Linked DNA regions of Rhinolophus ferrumequinum. The protein of the gene in region 1 purifies or fractionates together with the protein of each later gene. This does not show direct contact. Links are inferred from orthologs where the notes say so. Each region holds a gene or a part of one and is shown in the gene's direction. Other genes may lie near its edges. The genes, in order: CDC25A and CCNB1.

What was found.
Region 2: the proteins of CDC25A (region 1) and CCNB1 purify together in Homo sapiens (affinity purification with mass spectrometry; 3 studies listed by BioGRID, with this or other methods). This does not show direct contact. The link is inferred for Rhinolophus ferrumequinum from reciprocal best matches to the Homo sapiens genes CDC25A and CCNB1.

What each region holds. Positions count from the first base shown.
Region 1 is NC_046300.1:7,785,188-7,801,897, forward strand, and holds the start of CDC25A (M-phase inducer phosphatase 1), read left to right. Parts: upstream 1-7,857; 5' UTR 7,858-8,573; coding exon 8,574-8,743; intron 8,744-9,756; coding exon 9,757-9,830; intron 9,831-10,590; coding exon 10,591-10,633; intron 10,634-11,112; coding exon 11,113-11,149; intron 11,150-11,596; coding exon 11,597-11,698; intron 11,699-13,928; coding exon 13,929-14,048; intron 14,049-16,504; coding exon 16,505-16,639; intron 16,640-16,710. UniProt on the Homo sapiens protein: Tyrosine protein phosphatase which functions as a dosage-dependent inducer of mitotic progression. Directly dephosphorylates CDK1 and stimulates its kinase activity. Also dephosphorylates CDK2 in complex with cyclin-E, in vitro.
Region 2 is NC_046290.1:44,711,029-44,726,994, forward strand, and holds the start of CCNB1 (G2/mitotic-specific cyclin-B1), read left to right. Parts: upstream 1-9,968; 5' UTR 9,969-10,112; coding exon 10,113-10,133; intron 10,134-10,698; coding exon 10,699-10,869; intron 10,870-10,962; coding exon 10,963-11,115; intron 11,116-12,657; coding exon 12,658-12,840; intron 12,841-14,803; coding exon 14,804-14,962; intron 14,963-15,174; coding exon 15,175-15,411; intron 15,412-15,690; coding exon 15,691-15,831; intron 15,832-15,966. Other genes in the region: proton-coupled zinc antiporter SLC30A5, read left to right, coding at 1,282-1,410, 2,022-2,192; 60S ribosomal protein L36a-like, read right to left, coding at 5,555-5,869. UniProt on the Homo sapiens protein: Essential for the control of the cell cycle at the G2/M (mitosis) transition.

The sequences.
Region 1 (16,710 bases):
ATTTCAAGTGTTTAGGCAAATGGATGGCCTTTGACAACCCAAAACAAGTTAGCCTTTCCCCACACAGCTCAGGGCCAAAAGGAAACTCTCAAGATTGGCAGAAGTGGGCTGTTGCCATGTCCACATCGACTTGAGAGAGAATGGCGCTCTCAGAGGGAGGCCTTTCTCCCAAGGCCATGCTCTGTATCACAAGTCCCACCGGAGTTCTGCTCCACCCCTCAGAGTGCAGCTCCCAAAAATGGCTCTTGCCCATCTCCTTTGATCCAGAGAACATCCTCTGGGATAGGCAGGGAGGATTGTGGTGCTATTGCCATTTCACAGATCAGTAAACTGAGGCTGGCCCAGAGCAGACAAAGCAACTTGCCTAAGACACCAAGCTACTAGGAGACAGACATGTAAGGCTGAGGCCCCGGTTATCCTCAGGCTCTCCTGGCCTCAGCTCACCCTTTCATCCCCACCAGTCCTTCCCTCCTCCCCCATCCAAGAGATAATGGCAGAAGGACAACAAGGAATCATTTTGAAAAGAGTAAGCTCTGACATTTATCATATAACCCAGAAATTCCATTCCTAAGTGCTTATCGTCAAGAAAGGAAAGCTTCACACAAAAAACTTGTACGAGAATGTGCATAGCAACTTTATTCATAATAGTCAAAAACCAGGAACAACTCAAACGTCGATCAGCAGGCTCCTCAAATTGTGGGACATCCACACAAGTTACTGGAAGGCTTCTCACTAGTAAAAAGGAACGAACTGCCAACATACGAGTACACATCTTGAATGAACCTCATAACCATGATGCTAGGTGAAAGAGGCCAGATGCAAAAGATCACGTATTGTATGGTTCTGTTTATGTGAAATTTCCAGAAAAGGCAAACCTATAGTGAGAGGAAGTAGACCAGTGGCTGCCAGTGGCCAATGTTAGGAAGATGAGATTGACCACAAAGGGGCATGAGGGAATGTTTTGGGGCGATGAAAATGTTCTACATCTTGATTGTGGTGGTGGGTACACAATTGTATACATTTGTCACAATTCATGTCATTACACTGAAAATTGTGAATTTTATGGTAGATAACTTATACCTCAGTTTTCAAGGTTGCAGAGTGAGGGGGTAAGTGCTGGCAATATGTGGGCCTATCTTTCCAAGAAGGAGCATTGTTCCTTCTCCCCAACACTCTGTGACAGCAGAGCCCAAGCTTACATGAACTGGGCCTTGGGCATAAAGGTGAGGAAAAGGAGCCCTGCGGCTGCTCCCTCCTAGCCCACTGGGGGGCCCTCTGAGTGTGCCCAGAGAAGAGAGGTCCAGGCTGTGCTAAGACCCAGCTTGGGTCAGGGGTAAGCCTTTCCCCTCTCTGTTTCCGTTTCCTCATCTATAAAACGAAGGTGGGGGCTGCATCAGACTAAGTGGTTACTTCTGGGATTTACCTCTCTTTTCACAGAACACATAGACATCCCAGAAGGCCTGGGGCATGCCTTGGAGCCTGGATTTTAGGCTCAAAGGATTGGAATGGGTCCACTCCCACCCAACTCCCTCTAGGGCAGCTATTGCTCAGGGCTGGAAAGGAACAAGTCCGGAAAACCACGACCCCTTCTCCCCACCCGCCATCCCCCCCAACACACCACCTTGCCTAACGTGGGCATTTGTCAACCAGCTAACAGCAGGATGGTGCAAGAGGCTCTAACTCAACCAGGATGGGAGGCAACCCCAGGAACAATTTCACCTCCCAGAGGCCCAGGATTGAGAAATACTGGGACAGGGCAATGATACCACAAGTCCAGCTTGCTGGTCTCCAGCCTCCAACACTGTGTTTCCTCTTCTCCTAGTACATTCTGTGGGGGCCACAGCACTCAGGTGTAAGCTGTTAAAAAGAGCTCAGCTGCTCCCTAGGACCTCTGACTTCCAGAGGAGGACCCCAGGAAACCTCATAAGTAAACTTGACCCTTTGAGATGAAGCCCTCCGTCCCCCCTGCTCCAGAACCTACTGAGGCTCTCTATTGCCTGTGGCTTTCTCTGCCCTCTGCTGTCTCTGACCTAACTCGGGCTTCATCACCTCTACTGCTGGGGAATCACCTCTCCCAGAATGCCCAGTGCTGGGAACTCACTTGCAGTGGTGTACATGACTGCAGTGTCACACACTCAACAGTGTCACATTAGCATAGGACGAGGGTGGGGGACAGCGAGGATCAGCAATCCTTTGCATTTCTTCAGTACAGTTATTTCAACTCCCAAAAAGTATTTACACTACGTGGTTTGTTCTCTCTTGCTAACACCTCTAGGTGGTAGACTGATCAGGGGTCATTCCTCCCATTTTCCTGAGGGGTAAAACAGACCCATAGTGGTCAAGAAGCTGACACGTAAGATAAAGGACCGGCAGAGGCTAAAAACAAAGGGTTGGGGTTCCTGGCCCTGAGCACGTTGCACGCTGCAAAAGGCCTTGGAAATAGATCCCCAACAATTGCCACGCATTCAGTTTTTCACATGTGCTTAGCTTCCGGTCCAAGTCCCTCTTATTACAGCTGTCTTTCCTCCCAACTCGCCTCGGTTCTTTCTAGAATATTCTCCTGGGAGACAAGTGCCCTCTGGCGGCCACCTCTGGTGCTGCGCCAATGCCCACCAAGGGGAAAAGTAGCCGAAAAATCCTCAGTCTTTTCAGGAGAGAAAAGGGACCCTCGGGACCTGCCTCACCACCCCAAAACCATAAATCCAGTCCATCTTCCATGAGGAAGAGGAGGAGGAAAGATGGGTTCTCAGAGGCCCTTGTAAGCCTCTGACTTCAGGATAACATTCAAATTCTTCGTCTTCATTCACTCCACAAACATTTTTCTTTATCACTAAGAACCAGGCTCTATGCTGCTGCTGGGCAACAGGTCGTGATGCCCCAGAAGAGCTTATCCAAGAGGTCCAAGGAGGTTCTTTACCCCTATGCCTGGTTGCCACCCTTGGGGGGCCAAATAATTTCCTCGATCATAACCTCTCTATAGCATCTTTTTTAAGGAGCAACTGGAGAGAGGGGGGAAATCTGGAGAATGGTGTCCTGAAAGCTCTGTGAAGCAAATGTTTCTAGAAGGGAGTGATCAACTGTATCCAGTGCTGTCATGGGTGGCTGCTGAGCAGAGGAAGACAAGGTGAGCGATTTGGACACTGGATTCAGCGAAATGAAGGTCCCTGGAGAACTTGCCAAAGGCCATTTCTGTGGAGTAGGGAGGTTGAATGTCTGATTGCAGTGGGTTCAAGAGAAAAATGGGAGGAGAGACATTAGAGACAACTCTTTTGTTTACTGTGAAGGGAAGGAGTACAGCTGGAGGGTCAAGTGGGGTCAAGGGAAATTTTTACTATTAACAAACATGTCATTGAAGTATACCATTCATACAGAAAAGCAAGCAAATCATGAGTGTGTAGCTCAGTGAATTTCCAGAGTGAACACATTCACATAACCAGTACCCAGATCAAGAAAAAATGTGGCAAGTTCCCAAAAGTCTTCCTCAGGTCCTCTTCCAGTCACCACCCACCCCAAAGATAACCAGTACCCTAATTTCTATCTCCAAGGATAAAAAAGCAGGACTTCCTATTTTTTAAAACTTTATGTCAATGGAATTAAATAGCATGTCCTCTTCTGTTTTGGGCTTATGTTCCTCATCGATTGTGAGGAGTGTGGGTAGTTCTTTCCTAAAGAACCTCTATTTACCCATTCTATTGTTGATTGGCATTTGAGCTGTTCTCTGCTTGGGGCTAAAATGAATAATGTGGCTATGGACGTTCATCTACGTGCTTTTTGGTTCGTGCATGAATCGGAACGGTACTGTACCTTCTGTGCCAAGCTTTCCTATGGCTACTTCCTCACCTCCCACCTTTCCCACCCACAGGACTTCCATTTGGCCACCTTCCGTGCACTTCTGGATCATGGATTGGCTACTCCCTCCCTTTGGTTCTTTCCCCAGCACCACCTTCATGGGCCCCTCTTGCTACATCCAGGCTTCAGGTGCTCCCCAGATGCAGTCTCCTAAAACACTCTTTGCATATCCTCAGTGGACATGACCATCCTCAGGCTAACGAAGCCCAGATCTTTTTGCCAATCCCAGACAGTACACAAACACAAAACTGAGTTCATCAAATTCCTCCAAGAACTATGCTGCCTGTTGTTGAAATAATGGTACTGCCAACCCAGATGCTTAAGTCATAGGAACCCTTCTGACTGCTCCCTCCCCTTCCCCCCTGCAACTCTCAATCATCAAACTCCACTGAGCTCCTCCTCCTTTCTGACTCCCGAGCTCCCTCCCTTTCTCTGTTGCTGAGGCCCTCCATCTCAGCTCAAGTTTTCTCACCCAGGACTCTTTGGCTAGCCCCCTCCTTGTTCCTCAGGCTTCCCCACTCACCCTCATTGATCCACCCTGCGGCAATTCTGATCCTGTATCACCCACCCTCCTCACCCTCCACAGGATGAGGCTGAACCCCTCAGTAGCCTCTAAGTCCTTCAAGAGTTATCCCTCCTTTCCAGTTGGGTCCCTCACAACCGCTGCATGTGCCCATTCCTGGGACTGAGAAGTCATTCCCAGAACATGCTCTGCTCGCTATCTGACTTCTGAGGGCTCTTTTGGAAGAAAGCGCCCCACCTCACTCGCCTCAAATTCCTCTTTTCCCCGCAACCTAAGCCTTCAAGCTTCAGCAGCTTTAATCTCCCTTGGGAAGTCGCCCCTCTCCCACCCCTCCAGCCTTTCCCATCTCCACCCCCTTCCCCTCCTCCAGGTTCCACCAACCCTCCACAAATTATCACAGCAATTATCACAGTGATGGTTCCATTATTATAAGGAATGTTCTGTGAGATAGTATTTGGCAGATGTGAGCCTTCGGGGTAGGAATTGTGGGCTTTTATTTCAAGCACTGGGTTTGTCTCAGTGCACAATGAATAAACATTTGCTGAATGAATGAATGCAAGAACAGTGATATGGAGCCAAATACTAAAGTTCACAAAACAGAAGGAGATAGGAGAGAAATTTTTCAGAGGTTTAATGGAGGAAAGTATTTCAAATAGTGCACACAGTGAGGGTAGGCTCCGCAGACCGTGGGAACTGTGACAACTGAGAGGATTAAACAGCCTGAGGCTTCTGGAGGGGCGGGGTGGTCACGGCTGGAGCTTGAGTGCTTGTGGGGGAAAACGGAGGTGAAGCAGTGTTCCTGCCTCACTGTGAAGGAATTAGTGTTCTGAGCCAAAGGTTTTAATCTTCAGCCTGTCAGCCATTGTTTTGAAAGGAAAATGGGCACATGTAAAACATTAAATAAAAAAAGAGATGTTTCTTTTTCTACAGAAAATAAATCAGTCTTATAAATTAATGGGAAAGTTTGGGTTTTTTGGGGTTTTTTTGCTTTTGTTTTTAACAAGGGGAATCCCTTCTTCAAACAAAATATACAGGGCACTCCAATACATAATGTAGACTTAAAAGCCAAGTTTTTATGGTTATCAGGGAGTGGCAGGGAACAGCCAGGAGCTCTGCTGGGGTACCTCACTGAAAAACACAGCTGCAGTCCACCTCTGTCACCACTCACAAGTGGAAAGAGACGCCTGCTTTTCTCCTCTGCGTCATCTTCAACTGGCCACCATCTCATAGTAGGATCTTGTAGGATCCCTTTCAAACTGGCATGCCAGTGCCACCCTTGTCACTCTCTAATCAACTTTCCGCTCTGGAGCCAGGGTTATCTTTTAAATATGTAAATGTAAACCTTGCCATTGTTTCCCATTGTCCTTGAGATAAAGTTCAAGTTCCAGAATGCCGTCTCCAAAGTCCCGCAGATTCTGGGTCTCCCCAACCTCCTCTACTGCTTGTTCTCTGCCACACACGGGACTCCTTCCAGCCTCAGAGGCTTTGTTTAGGGCAAATCCCTATGCCCAGGGCACTCTCTTCCACATCCTTAGGACTTCCCTACTGGTCACTTCCTCAGGGATTCCTTATCAGATTCCCTTCCTAAACACTCTCAAAGAATTTCCACTTTTTCTCTGCAGCACGTATTCAATCTATTTGTACTGAGGGGTCTCCTAACCAGGCACTGGGTGATACTAGAGAAAAGGAAAGGCAGGGTCCTTATCCTTTTGAGTTCATAGTCATTCGGGCTGACTCACCCCGATTAAATAATCACAGAAACAAAAGTAAACATGGGGTGCCTGAAAGGTGGATAATAACAGGAGAATGTATCAGTTAGGGTGTCTGAGGGTAGAACTTTCCTTGTTAGCTGAGTGAAGTGGGTATCGGGGTGAGGAGGATGGCCCGGCATTCTCCAAAGAAGTATTGACTGTTTGGATCTAGCAAACTGGTTGGCTCGCAGTGGAGAATGAATGAATGAATGAATGGGCAAAAATTGACTTGCCCCAAGGCGGAAGCAATTAGAACTCAGACCTTCCAATTCACAGTGCAAGACTCTTCCCTTCCCTTAGTGAGAGTTTGCCTAAGTGAATCGGGAAAAGGGTTTAGTTAAGTTATGCTTTTCCTTTCACGCCATTTCACAATTGAAGATGGCCCCAAACATAATAAAAAATCACACTCAACATTTCAACCTTTAAAAAGGAAAAAACAAACAAACAATGGTTCTCTGACATTTCTGACACCAAGTTTGTATTCCAATATTTGGACCTACTGGTGGAAATGCTTTGGTATGTTAATCCCCTTGGGTCATCCCACTCAGGGAATGTCTGCTCAGGCAAGAAGGGAGGACTTTCCATTCCTTTAACCATGACACAAATATTGATTGCATATTTACAATGCATACACATATAAAAAGTTCAAAATGTTGACAGTTTTTTCTTTGAAGATGGTAGAATTACAGATGATTTTTAAAATTATACTTATCTCTAAATGTATATATATACATATGTGTATATATGTATATATATATATGCTTTCTAAGGCTATAATTATTTTGCATTATTTGTATAATACAAACCTTTGAAAGCAAAAGCTTTTGAAAGAAACGTTAAATTTAATGAATTTAATGGTAGCCCCTAAACAGAGGTAGTGGTCATAATCACCAGACACCTAAAGTAAATACACAATCTAGTTTTTTTCTCTAAACATGCTGTCTGAAGACAAGTCCTCTTGCAGCCTGATTGCTGTACCTATACACCTCTTATAAAATCAGTCATTGTAGGAGCCGTCACTGGTACAGGAGATAGAAAAGTAATTATGGTCACTTACAAAATGGGGATAATTCCTCTTTCATAGTAGTTTTAAGGAATAAATGAATAAAGCACTTGGAACAGTGTCTGGCATATAAGCACTATATAAGTCTTCGCTATTATTAAATACATGGTATTGCTATCTAGGAGCTCCTCGGTTAAGAAAAGGGTGGGAGAGAAGGAAATGATTCTCAGAAAATATAGTAAGAGCTAAAATGCAGTTGAGCAAAGAATGCTGAGCCCCACAGCCCAGGCCCGTAGACTTCAAGTCTTGTGCGGTCAGCAGTTCGAGGCCAGCACAGCCCTTAGGGTCTTCAATGGCCGGCTTGACATGAGCGTTAGCGCTTTGGAATTGGGACCTGGCGTTGGGGGCGGGGCAGCGCCCAGTACTCGGGTCATTCAGTTCCCTTCCTCGTTATAAAATTGGGGCGTGGACGCCCAGGGCGGAAGAGAGAGGCCCACAACACTGCAAGGTTATAGGTCGAGCCAAGGCTGGGCTCGGCCTGGCCTCCCTGTGGCCCGACAGCCTTCTCCAGCCTCCACATTCTCTCAGCGTGTGGGGGGGGCCAGGCGGGGTGGGGGTGGGGGTGCGATGCAGCCGTAGCCCAACGAGGGTAGGTGAATGGCTTGCCGCGCGGGGTGGGAACTACGCTTCCCAGCATGCAACCGGTAAGAGCGGCCTTTGGGTCTCGACCCGCGTCTCGCAGGTCCTCCTGGGAGTTTTCATTGACCTCTGAGCCCCATCTCCCTCGGATCAGCTCGGGTCTCCCTTAGTCCCCGCCCCTTTCGGAAAGCGGATGACTTCGCAGAGTCCCACGAGCTGCTTCCTCCTTCCCACTCTTATTGGTCCAGCCTAGCTGCCATTCGGGAGCAAGGAGGAGAAGTTTCTTATTGATTGGTGGATTCCGTTTGGCGCCAACTAGGAAAGGGGGGCGGGGCAGCGGCGGTCTCCAGTGAGCAGCTATTACCGCGAAAGGCCTTCTCCTGGCAGAGACAGCTCAGCCGGGAGGTGAAAGTCGGCTTGGTTCTTTGAGATCCTGGGTTGGGCAAGGGAGTGAGAGAGAAGCGAAGAGAGTGTGAGCCCGGGCCGTTGCCTCTCGGCTCTCCCTTCCCGACCTGCCGCGTTTGTTTGGATTTAATCTTCAGGTTGCGGTCGCCCGCCTGCCCGCTGGCCTCGCGGGGTGAGAGGGAAGCACCCGTGTATGTGGCTGGCGCCTGCCGGGTCCGGACACCCGCCCGTCCGCGCAGCTTGCCCGCGGCAGCCGCGTCCCTGAACCGCGGGGTCGTGTTTGTGTTTGACCCGCGGACGTCGGCGGCGGGGCGCGCGGCCGAGGCCAGTGCCGGCGGGGCGGGGCGGGCGCGGCGGAGGCGGAGAAAGAGAGAGCGGGAGCCCTGGGAGGCCTGGCGCAGCCATGGAACTGGGCCCGGAGCCCCCGCACCGCCGCCGCCTGCTCTTCGCCTGCAGCCCCCCTCCCACGCCACAGCCCGTCGTGAAAGCGCTGTTTGGCGCTACAGCCGCCGGAGGCCTGTCGCCTGTCACCAACCTGACGGTCACCATGGATCAGCTGCAGGGGCTGGGCAGGTGAGGAGGGACAGATGAGCGGTGCCGCAGACCGCTGACCTCCCAGACCGTTCTTGGGGTGATCAGGCCTGGAGAAGGGCCAGACCTCTTCGCCACTTGGGGACGGCCCCGTCTGGCGGGGGCTCACCATGTGCACCCTCCCCCCAGGCGGAATGTTGGGCGGGAGAGGCCGTTCGGACCCTCCAGGGCCATCCTCAGTCCCGAGCCAGGCCTGCTAGGGTATGGGGGCGGCCCCAGCTCCCCACCTTAGCCACCCCTTTCGGATCGCCCTGTACTCTTCTTCTGTCGCTGTCCCAGGAAGCTCTTTGAAATCTACCCCCACGCGGGAAAAGCAGGCCCTCCTAGGCTCTCACTTCCCCCTTTGCTGAATTACTTCGCCCGGATCTTAGTTTCCTGTGAGCTTTGTTCCTTCTCAACAAAGGGACGTGGCATTTTCTATCCTGGGCTTTGTGCAAAATCATCGCAATCCCTCGACCTCCCTGCACCTTCCTGATGTCCACCCCATGCATTCCTAAAGCCAGGCCTTTTTACTCAACTTTCCGTACTCAAAAGCTCTCTGGACTTCTCTTTATAGAAAAAAAAAAAGAAATCCCACAGTGTTTGTGGTGAAGCTGCTTTCTCTTCAATCTTGGACATCTCATATCCTAAGTGAGCACATGTGTGGGTTTTGCAACCTCTTAGAAGCAGGAACTTGTCCTATTTTTCATCCCTTCTCCCAGCACAGTACCTAGAGCACATGCTCTCATTTTAGGAAATACACCAACATTCATCATAGTCATCCTACCCTACAATGTGACCCAGGCCAGGCCTACCCACCCACTCCTTTCTCATCTTTTATGCTTAAGTGCTAGCTACCTGGGTGTTCTGGGTGGCAAAGTGTTGTGTGGTGTGGTCTAGAAGTAATGATAGTTGATGGTAGCCTGGCCACTTGCTAACCTCATGGCCTGTGTCCTGTATGTAACCTTTTAGTTATATCCTAGAAATCCAGAGAGAATTGTTTCTTTTGGTTTTAGTGAGTATGAACAGCCACTGGAGGTGAGAAACAACAGTTTGCAGAGAATGGGCTCCTCTGAGTCAACCGATTCAGGTATTGTTTTAAATCCTCCACATTTATCGTGTGTCTGCTGGGTGGGGAGCAGTCCTTGGCATTGGAGGAAATGTGCTTTCACCTAGGAACTTTATGTGGCATTGTGGCAAGGGAGAACATTAGTCAGGAGTTAACAGCTAACTTCCTCGTCAGGCTATCTAGACATCAGGGAGGAAAGGTGTGCGCTCGTCTGGCTCTGGTGAGTCTGGGTGGCGCTGAGCAGTGTCTCCTCCACCTGCTACCTTTCGGGAGATGGGCACCTCACTTGGTGTTATTTTGTTGAAGGCAACAAATACTTGCCTTGCTTGTCATGACATAATTGTATTTCCTACATCCCCAAGTTATGCATATGATCTGACAAGATAAACTATTTGAAATCAAAACTATTTCAGAAAACTGGCCCTACCAGAATTTTCTTTCCATGGTTGGAACTCAAAGAAAGTTACTGGGTAACCTCTACCTGAATACCCAAACAATCCTGAGAAGGTTCGGATTAATTACTCTCTTCAAATCCTGTTTTCCTTGATGGTATTGGCAAGTAGGAAAGGGGGATTGGTAGCTATACATGAAATATTAAGACTTGTGCAAATATGAAGTTTTTGACGATCAAGTAGAGACTCAGTTTCAATGCTGGCAAACCGTCCAAGCCTTGAGTTTTTGTTGACCGGCTCAGAGAAACAGTGCTAGGAATTTTATTTATTTAAATAGCAAAGTAGTGTTTCATGTAGGACTTCCTGAGAGACATTTTTATTTCCCACAGGTTTCTGTCTGGATTCTCCTGGGCCCTTGGACAGTAAAGAAAAGTATGTACTCACTGCTTTTAAATATGCTTGAAAAAAACTTTTTTAATTTTTTGAATGCAATTTGTTGTGCTCTGGACTGGCGCTCTGGATTTAGCTGTCCCAAGTAAAACTGGATCCTATAAACAGTCTGGTATCTTTCGAGAATCAGTAGTGTGTGTCAGCAGTTTTCAGAACTTCCCTTCCTTTATTACAGCTGTAATTTGAAGTTCTGTTTGAGTCTCACCAAGCCCTGGCCCCACTCTAACAGCCTTAAGAGAATGTGCATATTTTAAGAGAAGACCTGGGTTTGTTTTTTTTCACCTTGAAGCCCAGTGTTAGGTGCGCTTGTGAGAACAGGAGAGCATCAGAAATCTGTTCTTCCATCTTGCCTAAAATGGGAATGTTTGACTACCCTCCAGACTGTAGGTTAGACACTGCATCTTCTGATATGACTACCTCTTTGCTTTATTGTCATCATTTACCTTTTGATTTCATTGCAGCCTTGAAAATCCTATGAGGAGAATAAATTCCCTACCTGTAAGTTATTTCCCTTGTTTAATTTGAAGTAATACCTATTGTTTGCCGATTAGATACCAGCATGACTTTGATGGTAAACCTTAATGTAGACAATGCTTTTCCTTACTCATAAGCACTCAAATACTCCTAAAGCTTCAATAATTGTCTCTTGTGGGCTTTCCCCATCATCTCTAATTATCAGAGTTTTATCAAAGTAGGAGGGGTTCTTTTATGCAAATGATGTTATGTGGGGGTTGGCAACCTTGCAGGGTTAAATTCCCATCTAGTGGGAACTTATATCCTGTGTTCTGACAAGGTAGAGGCCTGGCCACATGTACTGTGGTATGTGAGGAGCTAGGCCTTCCTATAACCGCCATTTTTTTTCTTTTTTTTTTTTTTTTGCTTTTGAGAACTGAGTTGCCATTGGATTTTTATTTATGTACCCTAATTCCTTTTTCACTTTGATAGCAAAAGCTCTTGGGGTGTAGCCCAGCTCTGAAGAGGAGCCATTCTGATTCTCTTGACCATGATGTCTTTCAGTTGATGGACCAGGATGAGAACAAGGAAAACGTGAGTGTAACATGTTTGTACTAACCTAGGGCAGAGGTAAAACCCACAAGTGCCATTGGCTTACAGAGAAGTGTCTGAGCTGCTTTCTGGGAGACTAAACTTTCATCAACGTTGGAGTCAGAGAAACTTGGATTTGAATCCTGCTGCTTTCTAGATGTGTGATCTTGGCGAGTTCTTTTTTCAGGTTTCTTTGTTTCTTTATGAAATAGGAGTAACCCTACTTTGTAGAACTGTTGTGGGAATTAAATGAGATAACGCAGATAAAGCATTTCAAATGGTTCCTGACAGGTAGGAGTTGCACAGGTGGTAGCTCTTAGGAGTAATTATATCCATGAACAGTTTATCTGGAAGGTTCTGCCCAGGTCTTCCTTTCCTTTTTTTCTCCCCGCTTCTTCTCCCCCCCGCCCCCCACACACACACACTCCGGTTCAAGCCGTTGTTTCTCAGTCTAGTTGTGTAGGACACAACTTCCTGGCCCATGCTGGTGTTAGGAGCCTTGTGCTCCCCCCCACCCCCGTCGTCGGTCCGCTCCTCACAGCAGCTCTCGCTGGCTGCTGGCCGCTCTTGGCAGCACACAGCAGCCCACGGCTGCTCATGCTGTCTGCCACTCCTGGCGGCCCACCGCAGCCCATGCCAACCTCCAGCAGCTCACGGCAGCCCAGCTCCAGGGAGAGCTGTTGTTCACAATCTTAGCTGTAGAGGGCGCAGCTCCCTGGCTCAGGTGGGAATCGAACCCGCAACTTCAAAGTTAGGAGCACGGCCACCTGGCGTTAGGAGCATGGTGCTCCAACCACCTGAGCCACCGGGCCGGCCCTCCTTGCCTTGTTACATTGACCCGGGGTGAGTTGTAAGTTAGGAAAGGCTGCTTGACAGTATTTGAAAGAACAGAGCTAACAAGTCTTAGGGAATTTCAAAGTAACTGAAATGGTAGCTTAGAGCGGGAGCTTGTGGTTGTCCACCCAAAAGTCCAAGAATGCCTTGGCCTGGCTTTTCTCTCACACCTGGCAGGGTGCCTTGCACAGAGTAGGCATCAAGATAGTTAAATGAATTAGCTCAACTTTTCCAGTCTTCTTTCTCACTATATTTCCATATCTGTTCTCTCCCCTTTTCCATTCCCTGATAAAATGCTATAGTTCACAATCCTTACAATCTTCCAGACTTAGTATAAAACCTGCTGCCTCCACGAACTCTCCCAAGGATTCCTCTAGCAACTTGTGCAGTGTCCTGAGGAAGGATATAGAAATGAGTGCCTGCCTTGAGTGCTTGGAAGGCTGCATCAGCCTCTGTGTAGCGCTTTCTACCAAATAGTCCAAACCTGTACCCATGCCTGATCCAGCCCCACTCCCACCCCCCCACCCCTCCAAACTTGGCTTGTCTGCTTGGAGCTTTGTTCTGGAGGGGAAACGGCAGAGGTTAACGAGCTTTCACTCTGGAGTCGTCCTGTCTGGCCGTGAAGCCAGATCTTAGGGAAATTACTTAACCTGTAAGGACTAATTTTGTCTTCTGTAAAGTGGGGTTGATCAGGCTGTAGTTGATGGTTAATGAGCCAATACACAGAAAGTGCTGTCCTGTGTTGACATATACAAGCTTTCTGAGCATTTAGTAACGAGTTCTTAAGTGGATATTTTAGGGTAGGGGGATTATGAGTGCTTTTAAACTTTAAGTAAATGGGATCATACGGTGTGTATTCTATCACTCCTCACTTCTTTCACTCAGCGTTATGTGAGATTCGTACATGTTGTAAACCAGTAGTTTTTTGTTCCCTATTGCTTTTAGTATGGAATACAATAATTTTAAGTGGAAAAAAATTATCTATTGGAAGGAAGAAGGTAGAAAATATAAAGTCCTCAAACAAATCTAGAGTGAAAAGTTCTAGCTCCCATTCACAGTCATTGAAAGGACTTTGCTTTAGGTTTTAGAAAGTTGTTGATTCAGCTTATAACTCAGTGTTTTGTGTACTTGGCAGATACTCACGTGTTTGTTAGGAAATAAAGCGTGGTGAGAGAAAAAGTGCCGTATTAGACGTTAGCTGTTGACAGAGTCATTGACATTCTTCGTTACACAGATCCAGTGTTGGAGTTAGATCAGAAGTTGGTAAACCCTTAGTTTGGAGGCAGTGACGAAGGTGCTCAGTGCCCGCTCCCTTGTCTGTCTCGTCTAAGCTATAGCTGAGGCCCCAGCGCTGGTTTCCATGGACAGCGGAAGATGTTTCGACTCTACTGTCTTGCAGGAAGCCTTTGAGTTTAAGAAGCCAATCAGACCTGCGTCTCGTGGCTGCCTGCACTCTCATGGAGTTGAGGAGAGTAAAGATCTCTTCACACAGAGGCAGAACTCTGCCCCAGCGCGGATGGTATGTGCTCCGGCTTTCATAGGGAAGTTCCTGGTGGGAAGAGACTTAAAGCACCCTCTTTAACCTGGAGTTGAAGACACTCTAGTAGCTCTCGCTGTCGTTACCTTGACTTTGTCTTTCGAAACTAGATGGTCACATTTTTGGTGTTTTGCTGCATCTGGAGAACAGAGAGGTAGAAGCAGAGTGAGAGGTGGTATGTTTGAAATAATATTGGACTTGAGCAAGGCTTATTTGACCCGGTTGATTCTGGGGAAATAATCTGCAGGCATTCTGGGTCATTCTTCTGTGTGTATGGTGCGATTATATGTCTTACTTAAAACTTGCTCTTTCACAATGCATCCTAAGTGCTAAGAGGTACTTCCCAGAATGGGAAGAGAGCAGAGAGCGCTTGGCTTTTTCCAAAGGTGATTTATTAAGAACCGTTGTGGATTTCAGTGAACCTAGTGCCGGTAGGCTGCTTGAAAGCATTTGGGTCCACTTGCCCCAGGGTTATTTATTTGCCAGACAAAGACTGTCACTACTTTCAGAGTTTCCTACTGGTGATCTGACAGCTATAGACTAGAGAGGCCCAACTTGAGCAAAATGACCACCTGGTGTCCAGGTTTTCCTGGGAACTTGCATCTGAAAATACAACTTTCCAGACTGACTGGTAGTCTGAGGTGTGGGTTCCTCCAGTATTGCTGTCTAGCGCTTGCACAGAGCACTTTTCTGTTTTCTTGTCTTTAATCTTCATAAGCCTGTGAAGTAGCTGGCACTCCCCCATTTTACAGATTGGGAAAGTGTTGCCAAAGGACACAGATACACAGAAGACCAGTATTTAACAACCTCCTGATTCCCAAGTACACAGTAACCCATTGACAGCTGGGTCGCCAAACTAAGTATGTTTAGTGTACGTGTGCTTGAAGCCAGTGTTTCCTGTGATCTCTTGGCCATCCCTAACTGTAGCTACTGAGGGTACAAACTGAAAGAAAGCGAGTGTTAATCTTACCAGTTTGGCTTTTGATCATGTCAGAGGGTGTTTTGTATCTTTGCTTTTAGTCTCCAAGTGCCATCTATCTTTCCTCATAATGGCTTCTTGGTGTAGGAATCTTGGAGAAAGAATTAGGTCCCGCCCAGAGATTTGTCCGTCATTTTCTATAGCACATCTGCACCTGGGGATCTGAGGCCCTAGGTCACAAAAACTGATGTTCTCACATGGCGTGAGTATTCAGAGGGTGTCGCCCCGCAATAGAGTCACCTACCCCTGGGTTCTGCTGGCTGCAAAGCTGCCAGTGTGCCCAGGGCGTGCCCAGGTGCACTTGGGGAGGATCAGGAACAGCCCGGAACTTGTACCTTGTGATGAGAGTTAGTCTCTGAACCAGAGTAGGCCAGCTGCAGACAGGATTCCTAGGTGAGCGACCCGCCCGCAAAACCAAAGGGCCACTTGAGGAGTAATGCACTCATGCCCCAAGGGGATTTGGATCTGAAGGATGTTTGTACGACTCACGTGGGGACCCCTTGTTACTGTGGGAGAAAAGAAAAATCTACCTCGGAACTTTTTACCTGGCTTTGAAAAAGCATGTGGAAAAGAAATACAGTATCAGCAATGCACATATTAGTAGTGTTTATCTCTAGAGGGTAGATTTATGAGTGGTTTAAATTTTCTATATTAAATACATACTAGTCCTATAATGGGGTTTTTCCCCAGAATCAAGATAGGGTTGCCTAATGTGATACCCCATTTTTACTCCAGGAATGTTCTCTTGTAGAGAGTGTAGTGGGGAGAAAAGCTTGGGCTTTGGAGTCAAACAACTGAGCTGTGTGATCTTGGTAACCTTGATTAAGCATTAGTTTTCTGATTTGTTAAGTAAGAAAAGGATTACCCTTAGTGTACTGTGAAGCTTAAATGAGAATGTACGTGTAAAGATTATATCATAATGTCTGGCACAAGTAATTCCTCAGTTAAAAACTGAGCAGCTGTCATTTAGATTCTAAGTCTAAAGAACTAAGATAGATTTTAGATTTTTGTAGAGCCAGGCCACCCTTTATTTCCCTCTGTCAGAATTGGAGTAACATAAGCATTCTCTAGGCCATTTTGTCATCTCCATGGAGACCGTGTCTTCTCACCCTTCCTCATTTCAGCAGGTTATGTTATCATGGCTTCATATTGTTCTGTGTTCACTGATTACAATCCTCTGATAAAACAAAGCTTGTCTTTCATCAGAGGCTATTCCCAGATCCCACTGTGACACGAATTGCTTCTGGGAAGAGTTCCTTGTAAAGGCTACTTGGCCTGACTCAGGACTTTGTGTGGACTTCACATCATTTATAGCCTTCGGATTCATAGTCCTTTGATGAGTTGCTGCTAAAATTTTACTTATAACAAATGTAGTATGTTTTCCTCATAAAAACTAGTGACCCATCCAAGGAAATCAAAATTGATCATTTATTAACAAGCCATGAATTTTGTCTCGTAGCTTTCCTCAAATGAAAGAGATAATAGCGAACCAGGAAATTTCATTCCTCTTTTTATGCCCCAATCACCTGTGACTGCCACTTTGTCTGATGAGGATGATGGCTTCATGGACCTTCTCGATGGAGAGAATCTGAAGGTACCATGTGTGTTTTCCTATCCATTCCACTAACTACTCCTGGAGAAGTCATGTGAAAAAGTACAGCGATT
Region 2 (15,966 bases), on another chromosome or scaffold:
GACAGTCTTGGGCCGGCCCAGTGGCTCAGGTGGTTAGAGCTCCATGCTCCTAACTCTGAAGGCTGCCAGTTCGATTCCCACATGGGCCAGTGGGCTCTCAACCACAAGGTTGCCAGTTCCATTCCTCGAGTCCCACAAGGGATGGTGGGCTGCGCCCCCTGCAACTAGCAACGGCAACTGGACCTGGAGCTGAGCTGCGCCCTCCACAACTAACACTGAAAGGACAACAACTTGAAGCTGAACAGCACACTCCACAACTAAGATTGAAAGGACAACAACTTGACTTGGGAAAAAAAAGAAAAGAAAAAAAGAAAAAGACAGTCTTGTAGAAAAATGGACTGAGAATATAAATGGGCAATTCATAGAAGAAACAAATACAAAATAGAACGTATTTCAACTTGTGGTCTGCCATGTCATATTAAAGCAGTTAGGATCTGCTAACGAAAAGTTAGCATCTTGAATATTTAAGGTATAATATCTTAACCCACTGTTTTCATAAATAAAATTAGTATAGTTTTCTCACCTACTCATCATTAGTGACTACTAAATCCTACTAAAAAGTTTTTTATTTCAAAATATGTCTATTACAGAAAACATCAAAATATAAAAAGAAAAGTACAAAAAGGGATGGGGAATCACATATAATTCCACCACCTGGAAAGAAACACTTTTAAAAGTTGTTTTTCTATATAAAAATATTTTGAAAATGAAAATGGCAAATAAAAACCTGTTTTGTGCCACTTTTAAAATTTTCCCCCATTATGTCATGTGATAATCTAATACATTTGTAATGATAATGTAGTGATACATTTTATGTAGTGATACATTTTAGTGATAGTTTATTATTTAACCAGCCCGTAGTTGTTGAACAGGGAGGATGTGTTTTGAATGTGTTAATCGCTATATAACAAACAATATGCAAATATGTGTATAAAGGAAACCATGTAGTTCTTTAAACGTATCCACTGTTTAGAATACACAAAATACATCTTATATAGGTGAAAACTGGTGTGCACCTGTTCAGTATGGAGACACCTGTAGCCCGTTCACTTCCTATTCAGAGCTGCCTTCCTTGGCATCACTCCTAGGTCAGAATACTTTAGGCACCTTTTTACTTTGGTTAATTGTCCCCCTCCTCTACTTTTCTCACTTCTGGGCTCTCCTTATTATCACTTTTTTAATAATCAGCTTAATAGTGGTTGCTGGACCAAAAAGATTGCGTGTGTTAAGTAAATTATAGCCTTTAAGTCCATTTATATCACCTCTCCTTTTATTTGACAGATACAGAAAATTGAAGGATTAATATCATATCGAGACCCTCATTTTTGGCGTCATTCTGCCAGTATTGTGGCAGGAACAATTCATATACAGGTGACATCTGATGTGCTGGAACAAAGAATAGTACAGCAGGTAATAATCTTTTGTTTTTACAGTAATTTCAGTTGAGGTAATTCATGCATAAAATTACACACATTATAAAAGTTATACAGCTCAATAGTAATTTAACTGCTTGAAAATATCAGTCTTTCAGCTAAGGATATATAACTTATTTTTTACATCTAGATTTGTTTTATATCCAGAAGTGGTTAAAATAAAAATCAAGTTTTAGTATTTAGAGGATAAGCTTAAGTTAATGTAAAAAAAATTCATTTATGATCCACCTTCATTCACAATAGAGTATCGAGAAATGTTATTATAAATGTAGCCCTAAATTAATAATACTAAAGTTGGCAGGGGGTATGCTATGGTTGGAGATAAGGATCAAAACAGTTCCTGTATCCCTCGTCTAGATATACATAATTGGAAACAATAGCTATTTTCCTTTAATACTTTGAATGTGAGATCAGAATTTACCGGTCTTCTAAAAATATCCTATCTAACATTTGCCAAATAAATAATAAACATTATTTTGAGGATTTATCTTTGATTCTCTAGCTATAAAAATGTGTTACCAATTATTTAAGACATGTGCATTAAATGCATAATCTAAATGCTTTAAAATATATGGATTTTTATAACAGGTTACAGGAATACTTAAAGATGCTGGAGTAAACAATTTAACAATTCAAGTCGAAAAAGAGGCATACTTTCAACATATGTCTGGCCTGAGTACTGGATTTAATGATGTCCTGGCTATGACAAAACAAATGGAGTCCATGAAATACTACAGAGATGGTACTTACATCATGTGAGATAACTCGGGAATTCCCCCTGGTGTGTGAACAATGAAGATTAAAATGACTCAGTATGTATAATATTGACCGAAGGAAGAAAATTGCACATAATTGTATAGAAACATTTGCCATATTTGAAAAAAAGTGTAAAGCTTCCTACTGTTGGATCAAAGAATCTTTCTTAAAGGAAATTTAAATACAGAATGAAGCATTAATTGTTCAAGTAAAATAATTATTTGCATTATGTGTATAACAAGAATCGTAAAATTTTAATGAACATGATGTGTCACATCACCTTTGATAATGAACATAATGATGGAATTGACTGAAGACCAAAATTACTTCTGTGTTTACTTTCTGTCAGAAAGCATCTCCATTGTAAATAATGTATTTACGTGTTTATTACAAAGACCCAAATGAAAAATTTTTAGTCAATTTTTTGCATAGCCTTAGGATAAAATAGGAATAAAAGTTCTATATTTATGGATTTTCTGTATATAAAACTGGTTTCTAATTATAACTTAAATCCATTAAGTAAAATCTATACTGCCACTTGAAATGTAAACTAAATTATTTGGGAACAACTTCAACCACTGATATGAGATGAGCAATGAGAATAGGGAAGTATAACATTACAATTTTTGATGTATTACAAAAACCAACCACTCTGTAAAATAAATTTTTTACTTTTGATAATATTTGCAAATGAATAATTACTTTATTAGGGTACAGAACTTATACTAAGTTGTGTCCATGTTATGCATTCACTTGTCTTCTGCCTCTAAAGTAGAATATTCCATTTCTTATTACGCATCTGGCATTCCTAGTTGCCTATCAGGCTGGTATCCAAGCAATGCTAGGCTTTTCATCTTTTCATTTAGCTCCGTATGTTGTGGAACAGCCAGTTGAGAGAATCACAAATAATTAATTGAATTTTCTGCCTATAAATGTAATTTTTTTTTAAATTTCTGGAACATCTAAATATATAAGAAATCTCAAAGGTAGTTATTTTGAGGTTTAGTAAGTAAAGCTTATCCATAAACACTTGGGCACCATGAAATCAAAATACTTAACCTTATAACTACTTTCTATAGTAATATCTAATTTATATTTTTTAATTTCCAATTTAAACTGAATGTATTGTCTCAAAAGACTGTATGATAGTTATATGATAATATATGCAGTTTTATAAAACCAAAGAATGTTGTCCAAAAGAAACTTATCTCTACGAGAATCTGAATATTTTCATCCTTATACTAGAAATTTTGATAAATAGGATGAATTAATTTTAGTATGGGTACTATTTTTTTATCTATACCATAATGGCAAATGTGTATTGTAAATCATATTTTTGTCTTACTAATTTTACTATGTGACAGGTTTAGAAATTTATTATAAGTTATTTTGATATTTCTTGTCTTCTCTTTACACACTATCTGGTCCAGAATCTTCTATACACATTAAAATTTTTGAGTGGTGGGAAAATAATTGCATATTGATTTTTCAATGCAATTTTTATACATGAAAAAATTTTTAAGTTGGTAGGCACAATAAATACTGCACCATCATTAAAATTGTCATTTCTCTTAGAAGGCATATAAACAGCAGGAAAATTAATGTGACTGAGAAACCAAGATGAGAGCAAAGGCAGGGGCTGAACATTAAAGGGGTGCAGGTGGAAAGTAGGGAAACTCCAGTATTGAAGAGCACCAAGGTACTAGTTCTAGCTCATACAAACCATGACTTTAGGCAAATCAGCCTCTCTGGGTATCCTTTTTTTTCTTCATACATAAAGTCAGAATAAAATATGCTCAAATTCACAGAGTTATGAGGAGCAAAAAGAATAATGTATGTGAAAATGAAAATTGAAAAGGGTTAAATAAAGTTAAAGAATTGTTATTATTTTAAACCTGACTTCGGAGGTTTTTTCTATTGAAATCAGTACCTAAGAGATTAATTAGATATTAAGTGAATAAGTAAACTTAAAATAATACCCAAAACAAGCCTATTTCTAGTTTGACCCAAGAAGCGTGGTGGTGGTTGCTTAACACACCTGTTAGTTTCTCTCCTTCCCTTTCTCTCCAACCATTGTTTTCCATTATTACCAATTTAGGAGCTCATGATTTCCCCTTAGAATAAGCTTTACATATTTTATAATATAGGTATATTGTTCCTTTTACATGATAATTGATCAAACTTTAAACTTTTCTAATTTCAGCACAAAAATAAAGCTATATATAATTAGATATCTCTAACTATAAAGGATTCTGGTTTTACTTTAAATTTAGATTATGATTCTCCCCTAAAATATTAATTCAGAGATGCATGTTTACTAGTTAATAGTTACATGGTCAAAAATTTAGGGGCAGCCAGCTAGCTCAGTTGGTTAGAGCGTGGTGCTTTTAACAAGGTTGCCAGGTCGATCCCCACATGGACCACTGGTGAGCTGCACCCTGCACAACTAGATTGAAACAACTACTTGACTTGGAGCTGATGGGTCCTGGAAAAACACACTTAAAATATATAAAAGTTTAAAAAAAAAAATTTAAAAGAGTAAATGACAAAAACCCTCCAACCTGTCAATCATACACAGATCTCTAAAAATTACCACACTTGTCAGTTTCCAGTATACTCTTCAAGATTCCAGAGTTTATGAATATACAAGCAAATACATGTATGTATTATTTTTTACTTAGAAATTATTCCATAGTTGAAACATTATAAAGCATCCTCATTCTTTTTCTTAGCTGTATACTAATTCTACTGATGGATTTTTTTAGGTTGGCTCAAATCTTTTGCTATATGGACAATGCTGACACGAATAGCCTTGTACAAACATCATTTTGCATATGTGCAAATAAATATGTAGAATACATTCCGACAAGTAGAATTTTGGAAGCAAAGGGTTTAGGACATTTATAAATCTAAAAAAATATTGCTAAATTGCACTTCATAGATTGTCACAGTTTAGCCTCCCAAATAGAAATTTTAAGGCAAACATTTCTTATGGCCTTAATTTGTATGCAAGTTAATTATGCAGAGATTATATATAGATGCCAAACTGAGTTCAATTATAAAACCACTAATGTTTATTTCAATTTTAGAGTGGTTTTTCAAAAGGAAAGTGTTCTAGTAAATAATGTATAATAAAACTAAAAGGGTAAAGTTGGATTTTTTTTAATCAAATTTTTTCTACATCTTGTTTCTTCTATCTACAGCAGTTTGACACAGATGGTCAAAGATGGTTATATGTTGTGCACATACATTGTCCTGTTACTTTTTTTTTTTTTTTTACGAGTAAGAATATCACTGCATTTATTTTCATACAGGTATTTTTCTAAAGCTTCAACATTTTTTCTCAAAAATAAGAAACCCAAAGCTTAGAACTGGATCACTTGGCCCTTTCTCTTATATCCTCCCAGTTCAAAATGCTTGCATCTCTTAATGGCCAGCATCCTCTTGGATCTGCAGTGAGGCTCAACACATTCAAGCCTCAGCACAATCTTTGTGGTTTTAGCCTTCTTCCGGAAAATCGGCTTTGTCTGCCCACCATAGCCACTCTGCTTCCGATCATAGCGCCTCTTTCCCTGGGCATACAGGGAATCCTTCGCCTTCTTATACTGGGTCTCTTTGTGAGGCTGATGCTTTCCACACTTCTTACAGAAAGTCCTTCGGGTTTTAGGCACATTGACCATCTTTACAGTAGAGATGTCCACACGGTAAAAATGGGAAACTCAGCGTGTAGACTTACCCTCTTTTGTGATATTTTTATTGAGGTATACATAACATACAATAAAATACGAAGATCTTAAGTGCTCAGTGCAGTGAAGTGGTGATGATACGGAGTAACTGAAACTCAACATAGTGCTAGTGGGAGTGTGAAATGATGCAGCCATTTTGGAGAACTGTTTGGCAATTTCTTTTAAAGTTAAACATATATCCACCCTGTGACCCAGCAGTTCCACTCCCAAAGGTAATGGAAAAGTGTGTCCACAAAAAGACCTGTAGAAGAATGTATGTATTCATGATAGCCAAAAACCAGAAATAACCCAAATATCCATCAGGAGAATCGATAAATTGTGGTGTATTCATAATGGAATTTCACTAAACTACTCAGCAGTTTAAAAAAATTAGTTACAAACAATACAGGTGAATCTCAAAAACAAGTTCAGTGAAACATGGCAGATACATGCTGTATGTTTCCATGTATACGAAGTCCAAGAACAGAGAAGACTAATCTATAGTGATAGAGCACAGAAAGTGGTTTGTATTAATTTTCTATTGCTGTCATAACAAATAACCCAAACTTAGTGGTTGAATACAAACTTCTCTTACAGTTCTACAGAAGTCCAGTATGGGTCTCACTGGGCTATAATCAAAGTTGCTGCAGGGCTGCATTTTTTTCTGGAGGCTCTAGGGGAGAATCCATTTCCTTGCTCATTCAAGTTGGTTGAATTCAGTGTTTGTAGGACTTTGTAGGACTGAGGTCTCAGTTTCTTTGCTAGTCTTCTCAGCTTCTAGTGGCCACTTGCATTCCTTGGCTTGTGACTCCCTCTATCTTCAAAGCCAACAGTGGGTCATGTGCTTCCCCTGCTCATCTCTCTCCTGCCCCTTCTTCCACTGTTGCATCTTTCTCTGACCACCTCTTCTGCCTTCCTCTTCTTTTAAGTGGTGACACTGGACCCACTCAGGTAATCCAAGATAATTCCCTATCTCAAGGTCTTCCAAGTCCCTTTTACCATGTAACAGTCATCTTCACAAGTCTGGGCATTAGGGCAATGACATCTTTGGGGGGTTGTTATTCTGCCTACTACATAGTTGCTTGGGAAGACAGAGTTTCTTGAAAAGGAGTGGAGACGTCTTTTTTAATAAGTCTAGTACCCATATGATACCATACATAGTTATCAAAATATTGACTACATTCCCTATGCTGTACTTTGCATCCCCATGACTTTTTATAACTGGCAATTTGTACAGATCATTCCTATCATTGAGCTTTCACAGGCTATTTTCTCTATGTGGAATGCTTTTTTCATTTAAGCCTCAGCTTAAACATCACTTTCTCGACTGTCCCTGACCACCTCCAGAGTAGCTACCAAGTCACACTGTTTGCAACACTTTCCTTTCATTCTCTGCCTACCACTTAGTACTAGCTGATTTTTTTCACTTTATTTAGTTATTTACTTGTTTCATCTCTCTTCTACTGGAATATAAGCTTTTATGAAAGCAGGGATCTTATCCATTTTATTCAGAGTTGTATTCCTAGCACCCAGATCAGTGACTGGTGTGTATTGTTGACACTATTAACTTGGCCAGGAGAGAGAACACTGAGTAGTTCACTGAGGAGAAAAGTCAGAAGGTTGTAAGTGTTATAAAGAAAGGAGGTGATCCATGGTACTTATGCTAATTAAGCATAACTACCATGTTTCCCCAAAAGTAAGACCTAACCGGAAAATAAGCCCTAGCATGATTTTTCAGTATGATATCCCCTGAACATAAGCCCTAATGCATCTTTTGGAGCAAAAATTAATATAAGATCTGGTCTTATTTTTGGGGAAACATGGTAGCATTCTTAATAAAAATTAGTTGTACATAGTTGGCAAGATTTCTCAAGCTTCACACTATTGAACTACTGACATTTTGTGCTGGGTAATTCTTTGTGACTGTGTTTGGGGAGTGCGGGCTGTCTTGTGCATTGTATGATGTCTGGCAGCTTCTATGATCTTCACCCACTAGATGCCACTAGCACCCTCCCAGTTGTAACAATCAAAAATGCCTCCAGACAGTGCCAAATATGCCCCGTAGGATAAAATGTCCTCCAATTGAGAACTACTGGGTTAAAAGAATTTCCATTAGGCAATGGTCAGGAAGGGGTCGTCAATTAAGTCTGGTAAAGGTCTGGCATCCTAGGGTCATTCAAAGTTTGTTTTTTACCAACTCATGGCAATGAAACAAGAGTTTCAACAGTTCCTAACCAAGTGCTGCTGTGAGGGAATATGAAACGTAGGGAGAAATTTGATGGTCTCAAAGTATCTCCACACAGACAACATATTAGTTGCAATTTTTAAAAAAGTAAACGTACAATGAAGAAATCAGGCAACATCTTAACCAAGTGACCAAAATTAATCTCATTTATGACGGACAAACATCACGTGTCTGCAGTTGATCCCCTAAGACCATGATGTTACCTGTGTCAATTTTCGTAGAGTATGAATGAATTTATTGAATGTTTTAAAAAATTATTAAATCAATTATTTTCTTAAACAAGCTTTCCATAACTGTGAATATTAATATTGACAGATTTATGTACTGTACTTGGTTGCAAGGGGAGACCTGTTTGGCCTTTAAATTCAAATGGTAAGTAGCCATAGAAAGTGAACCAATATGTACCTGAAAAATTTTAGTCTGCATTACTGAAATAGATGTTAAAGCAAACTTAATATGTGATAACAGCAGAGTACTAGAAGAAAAAAAGCATGAGATGATTATGTAAAGTGCTTAATATAGTGCCTGGCACATAGCAGCTCCTACATAAATAATTACTAGAAAACTATAAAAACACTTTAGAAGATACTTAAAAATGTGTAAGTTAGATTATAAAGATTTTGACAGTCATATACACCTGTGCAACAACCTCAATTTAAATCACAAGAAAATACCAAGTACAAAAATAAGAAAGTTCTATTTTTAAAAAAGTGGCGGGGGTACTGTATTCTTCAAAAACATCAATATTATAAAAGATAAAGAAAAGCTGTAGGAACTGCTCTAAATTAAAGGAGGCTAAAAAGACACGATAACTAAATATAACATCTGACCCTAGACTGGATCATGTACTAGCAGAGAAAAAAATGCTATAAAAGATATTATTAGGTCAACTGACAAAATGGAATATAAACCAGGTTGAATAAAACAATAAAGTACATTTTGAAGTTATTAACTGTATGTGGTTAGGTAAGAGAATATTCTTTTTCTTAGGAAATACGGCAGAACTGAAGGATAAAAGTTATGATATATATAAACACCCTCAAGTGTTTCAGGAAAAATAATTTTATACATAGTTTATACATATATAAAGTAAATCATGAAGCAAATGGAGTAAAATGTTAAGGATAGTTGAATCCTTATCACATTTTTGTCTGCAAGTTTTCTAAGTTTGAAATTATTCTCAAATAAAAAATTAAAATAAAAACATTGGCTTGGGGAAATAACTTGAAGTAATCTGGTAGATTAAGAAACTGACGATATTCTTATCAATTAGGTTGTAGAAACATCATGAATCAAAAAAAAAGAAATTACCTACATTTAGTCCCCACGTTACTAACTTGTGATCCTGGGAAAATCACCTAAAGCTTCTCTGGGCCTCGGTTCCTCCAGAGTGCTGTTGGAAAAGATCAAATAAAACATTATATATCAAAGCCTTTCAGCTACACACCGCTGCAGACGAAGACAGTGTGTAACAATAAGTAGGACTAGAGCCACAACTGCTTACGCTTCTCCAACTGCGGCTGCTCCACCGTTACTTCTCTCAGGGCACAAGGCCATCCCCCTCGACTACATCCGGCAGCGCACAGTTCGCCACACCTCGCCGGTCCAGGTGGCAGCCGCAAATGCCCGAGAGCGCAGGCGCGAAGCCAAACCAAGTGAGGGCGTGGCCGCAACCTCTCTCTGGCCCCACCCCTCTCGTACGTCTCCGCGGGATCGCCCTAGAAACGCGTTCTTGGGGAAACCGACAGCCGCCAATAGGAAGGAAGCGAGTGCCACGAACAGGCCAATAAGGAGGGAGCGGTGCGGGGTTTAAATCTGAGGCCGAGCCCTGCATCTCCCGGCGTGCTGCGGTGGAACGGTTTTTGATCTGTGTTGATTTCAGATCCCCGGCTCGTCCGGGGCTCCCATTCTCCTCTTCTCCCCACTGAGCTGCTGCCTGGTGAAGAGGAAGCCATGGCGTTCCGGGTCACCAGGGTGAGCTGCTGCGGACAGTGAACAAACGCAGCCTTTCTCGCTGTGTATCCTCTCCCTATCTCGCTGGCCGGAGCCATCCAGCCCCGCGGGACCAGGGCAGAGATTTGGGGAGCATAGGGTTGTCGGTAGGCACCTGGCATGGTGGGGTAGGTGGCCAAGAGATCTGGGTTGGCCTGTTTGGGGGGAAATGGAGGGTCAACAGGAAATCTTTCCTAAAACGTGGAGGGCTCTTTTGTGGGCTCCCACCACCTGCGTAAGGTCCTTTCTGGAGAGAAAGAAGGTGTCTGCAGTTGGAGGCCTTTTTTCTTTTCAAATGTAAATTAAGGGTATTTTAGTGTCGGTCGGGACTAAACGTGCTATCCCACCGTAGGCGAGCGAAGAGGTTCTAGGAGGAAACTGACTTTTCACAGTCTTAGCGTAGACCCTGGAACCGGGTTTCCCCTCGTAACTCATTTACAGCCGACTTCCCTCCCGAGAGCCTCTCTTTTGCCTCATCTTAATTAATCCCCTGTGACTTACTGCAACCTGGCTGGGCTAGCTCTCAAAGAGGTCTTGCTTCTTTCAGAACACGAAAATTAATGCTGAAAATAAGGCGAAGATCAGTATGGCAGGCGCAAAGCGCGTGCCTGTGGCCACTGCTGCAGCCTCCAAGCCCGGGCTGAGGCCAAGAATGGCGCTTGGAGACATCGGTAACAAAGTCAGTGAACAGCCACAGTCCAAATTGCCTTTGAAAAAGGTAACTATCCTGATCCAACTTATCTGTAAAAGTCCACCATCCAACTGTGACCTTGGATGGAGCAACATTCCATTCTCTCCCATTCATCCACAGGAAGCAAAAACTTTAGCTGCTGGAAAAGTTGTTGCTAAAAAACTACCAAAACCTCTGGAAAAGGGACTCGAGCCCATGCCTGTGCTGGAGCCGGCGCAAGAGCCAGAACCTGAGCCCGTTAAAGAAGAAAAACTTTCGCCTGAGCCTATTTTGGTAAACTTATTTTAGAGTCTTGATTGTTTCTTTTCCCTCATTTTACTTGAATGCATGAAATAGCATTTGAATAAATAATAGTAACATAGAGTGTTCTGCTATGTACTTTAAATGCATTAACTCATATAATGTTGTATTTTCTTAGCTGGTATCTTGCTTTTTAGATAATGGCTTAGAAAAGTATTACGTATTTCCTGGAGTCATATCTAATCGGTGGTACATACTGGATTCGAACCCAGACTTGTCTGGCTTCGGAGCCTATGCTTTTAATCTCGTGTATGGTATTGAGTAGTAGTTGCCTTGATCGAAGATTTTGCTGTTTTTGGTACAAGTCATCTCTGACCAGAATTTATTGACTGAAACACAGATTGTTCTCTTGAATCTTTTTACTCACTAATATGACCACTGAATAATTAGTAAGCCTGTAACATTGTAATATGTAAAGGTGTAAAGCAGAAAGAAAATGTAGCACCTCAGAGCAGGTAAGATAATGAACAGCTTCAGAAACCAAGAACTTTCTATTAAATACCAGGTAAATTTTTCTACTGTGAAGGAAAAACAGGCCCTTTAGAAGAGGCTGGTTTGATGAAATTGGAATGAACTGCCTTATGAAGCTGATTTTTAAAACTTAATAAAACCATTTGGGAAAATCTGTAAAAGTCATTCAGCCTGGCTCCTTATATCTAAGGGTAAAAGATTTGAGGCCATTGTTTTAGTACTGACCTTCTGGACATAGCACATGAAACCTGTGCAATGCAAAGTCTTTAAATGACCATACCAAACTACCTGAGGTTTCCTTGCAAGTCCCATAATGATTCTTGTCTTTGCTTTCACACTAGTTAAAAATGTCTTTCCCACTTTCTTCATTTAGCTAATAACCTTTTCATCCTTCAAAACAGCTCAAGTATCAACTCCTGAAACTTTGCCTAACTTCTCCTAACCCTTGTTCCTAGAATCAATCTCCTTACCTCATTTACTTCTCGTCTAAAATCAAAGCCCCTTGAGGATATCAAAAAAATCAGTGCCTAGGACAGAGCTTGACTTGAAAGTGCTCAATAAATGAAAAATGGGGTAACTAGAGCTTGAAGGAAATGGTTAATGAGGTCAGTTAATAATGAGTAGTTAGGACAGAACTTGTGTTCTCCTGAACAGTGAGAATCGGTCCATGTTTTGAAATGAAAACCAAAGACTGACTTGCCATTTGTTTGAATTAACTTCACATGACACTGATCAACAGATTTATTACTTACCAGTTTCCTTTGGAGGAAAGTCCAAAATGTGAATTTATTTGCTTCTCTGTTTTACCTGTTAGTGTTTAGGTTCTGCTGACTTCAAATTGGCTCAGTCAAGTTGGCATTTCAATTTTCATACTAATCACTTTCTAAAGAGAAACTGAATAAATCTGAAAATACTTTTCCTTTCAGGGAATGAATTATGACTATTCAACAAATGGTATCTTGAGTTGGTACCAATGATCTGACTTTTATTCCCAGATTGTATGCTCTTCTTTGCTATTATTTCAGAAGGTCTCTTTATTTTAAGGTTGATACTCCCTCTCCAAGCCCAATGGAAACATCTGGCTGTGCCCCTGCCGAAGAGTATCTGTGTCAGGCTTTCTCTGATGTACTTCTTGCAGTGAATGATGTAGACGCAGAAGATGGAGCCGATCCCAACCTTTGCAGTGAATATGTGAAAGACATCTATACTTATCTGAGACAACTTGAGGTCAGTATTATTAGGTTGGTATAAAAGCAATTGCAGTTTAAAAGGTTAAAAATATTTGCAAAAACCGCAATTACTTTTGCACCAAACTAATAGAATCTGTTTTTTTCTAAACTGCATCTAGCTTTATTAATTTATTAATTTTATTAATTTATTAATTTTCCATTAATAATTTACAATAATTCAAGCAGGATGTGAGCAGCATTTCTTAACAGTAGGTTCCATTTTCAAATTCTCCTTCGTGGAATGCCAAAAATAAAAAGTAAGTAAACAAACCAATGAAATCTTTGCCATTATGAACAGGGAAATTTCAGTGAGAGTGGATACTACCATGGCTCTTCCTGAAGGAAAGTCCACAGATTGAATGATATATTTATATCCATCACAGAAGCAGACAAGTCCCAAATTCTGCGTTTTAGGAGGACAACAGGCAGGAGGTACATGGTAAAGAAGAATGTGCTTGAAAAATAATAGTATCCGCAATATAAGGCATTTGGGGTCAATGTGGCTGATATGCATGCAAGGACATTGTTGTGTCAAAGAGTACACTCAAAAACTGAAGTTTTTTTTTTGGTTTTCTTTCATCCCACTTTTGAAACTTTCTATTAATGGCATTTCTCCCCCACCAAAAAAACACAAAACAAGGAAGTATTCTGTATGCTAACAACATAAACTATACAGTTACCAGATTCACAAAGTTTTTTATAATGCATTTTCTTCTCTTGGTATCATTAACATCTTCAGTCTCCTGCTTGTTTCTGTGGAGCATCTCCATTTTCTACAGGACTGTCCTACAAGACTTCCTGGCCAGGACCAACCTCCTACTTTGAGTTTCTTCTCCCTTCTTTTGAAAGTTTGTGTTCTAACTTTAGAGGAGTAGGTTTAGCAGATATATGTGCTGGTCCTTGGTGGTTCGTTCTCCTCCTTAACTATGGTGTCTTGGAGAAGGAGAGTGGTAGCACGTGGGTTCCAGCAGATCTGAGAGCTGCTTCTATTTTTTACTTCGTAAGGCTCTGGGTCTGCATATAGAGACTTAGGTGAAAAGATGGGAGATGATAGTGTGATTTCTTTATTTGGGAAGAAGTGGGTACAGGGTCTGGATCAGTAGCGGTGATACTGAATTGATTATAAGATCTGCCAATATGATAAACCTGTCACACTATCCTACTTAATGTTTTTGTGCTTTCTTCAGTGATAGAGCTGTTTGTAGTGACCATATGAATAATTGAGTTAAAAGACTATTAGAGGGCCGGCCCGGTGGCTCAGGCGGTTAGAGCTCCATGCTCCTAACTCCGAAGGCTGCCGGTTCGATTCCCACATGGGCCAGTGGGCTCTCAAGCACAAGGTTGCCAGTTCAATTCCTCAAGTCCCGCAAGGGATGGTGGGCTCTGCCCCCTGCAACTAAGATTGAACACGGCACCTTGAGCTGAGCTGCCTCCCGGATGGCTCAGTTGGTTGGAGCACGGGCTCTCAACCACAAGGTTGCCAGTTCGATTCCTCGACTCCTTCAAGGGATGGTGGGCTCTGCCCCCTGCAACTAAGATTGAACACGGCACCTTGAGCTGAGCTGCCGCTGAGCTCCCGGATGGCTCAGTTGGTTGGAGCACGTCCTCTCAACCACAAGGTTGCCAGTTCAACTCCCGCAAGGGATGGTGGGCTGTGCCCCCTGCAACTAGCAATGGCAACTGGACCTGGAGCTGAGCTGCGCCCTCCACAACTAAGACTGAAAGGACAACAACTTGACCTAGAAAACAGGCCTGGAAGTACACACTGTTCCCCAATAAAGTCCTGTTCCCCTTCCCCAATAAAAAAAAAAAAAAAAAAAAAACATGGTCTTTGCATCTTTAAAAAAAAAGACTATTAGATATTCTAAATGCTCCAGAGCTGTTCTGTGTCACTATTATTTCTGGTCAGAAATGTCACATTGGAAACTTGCTTCTAATGATAATCAGCATTTCTTTTGCAGGAAGAGCAAGCAGTCAGACCAAAATACCTACTGGGTCGAGAAGTCACTGGAAACATGAGAGCCATCCTAATTGATTGGCTAGTGCAGGTTCAAATGAAATTCAGGTTACTGCAGGAGACCATGTACATGACTGTTTCCATTATTGATCGGTTCATGCAGGTGAGCATAATTCAGTAATTGAGGATTCTCCCTTCCAGGGTCCTAGCTGAGTCATAAGATACAGACCTTTTCAACTAAAATCTGTTTGGGGGGATAGGGTGTCACTGAGACTTTGCTATGCGAATATGTCTTTTTCACTTTTCCTTCACAGCTCTGTGTCTCCTTTTTCAAATATGTATTACTTATTCAACCAGTTGAAATTCCCATTGCAGAATAATTGTGTGCCCAAGAAGATGTTGCAGCTGGTTGGTGTCACTGGCATGTTTATTGCGAGCAAATATGAAGAAATGTACCCTCCAGAAATCGGGGACTTTGCCTTTGTGACTGACAACACTTACACTAAGCTCCAAATCAGACAGATGGAAATGAAGATTCTAAGAGCTTTAAATTTTAGTCTGGGTCGCCCTCTACCTCTGCATTTCCTTCGGAGAGCATCTAAGATTGGAGAGGTATCGATTTCTTCAGAAACCTCTGATATGGTACCATAGAGAATACTGCTGACCAAGCAGATCTAATTCAACTGACTTATATACCTAACTTCACAGGGAAGAAATAAATAGTTATTTCTAATCAGGCTGTATATTAGTATCATTAAGGCATTCCATGGGCAATTGCACCTGAGAGTTTTTAGACAAACATTTTTAGTTATAGTTATGGGCATGCTGGTTATTGCCAAAGCAGAATTTTCAGACAGAAAAGCTCAGTGACCTGTGTGAATTTTGTTCCAGGTTGATGTGGAGCAACATACTTTGGCCAAATATCTGATGGAACTAACTATGTTGGACTACGATATGGTGCACTTTCCTCCTTCTCAGATTGCAGCAGGAGCTTTTTGTTTAGCAATGAAAATTCTTGATAATGGTGAATGGGTAAGCTCTGCCCCACAAACCTAAGTTGCCCTAAGCGTTTACATTGTAAATAGTGTTTGCCTGAACACAGAACTGTTTTCATTAAAAGCAATTCAAATGGTTCCAAAAAATGACATCCACTGAGGGAGTGATTAA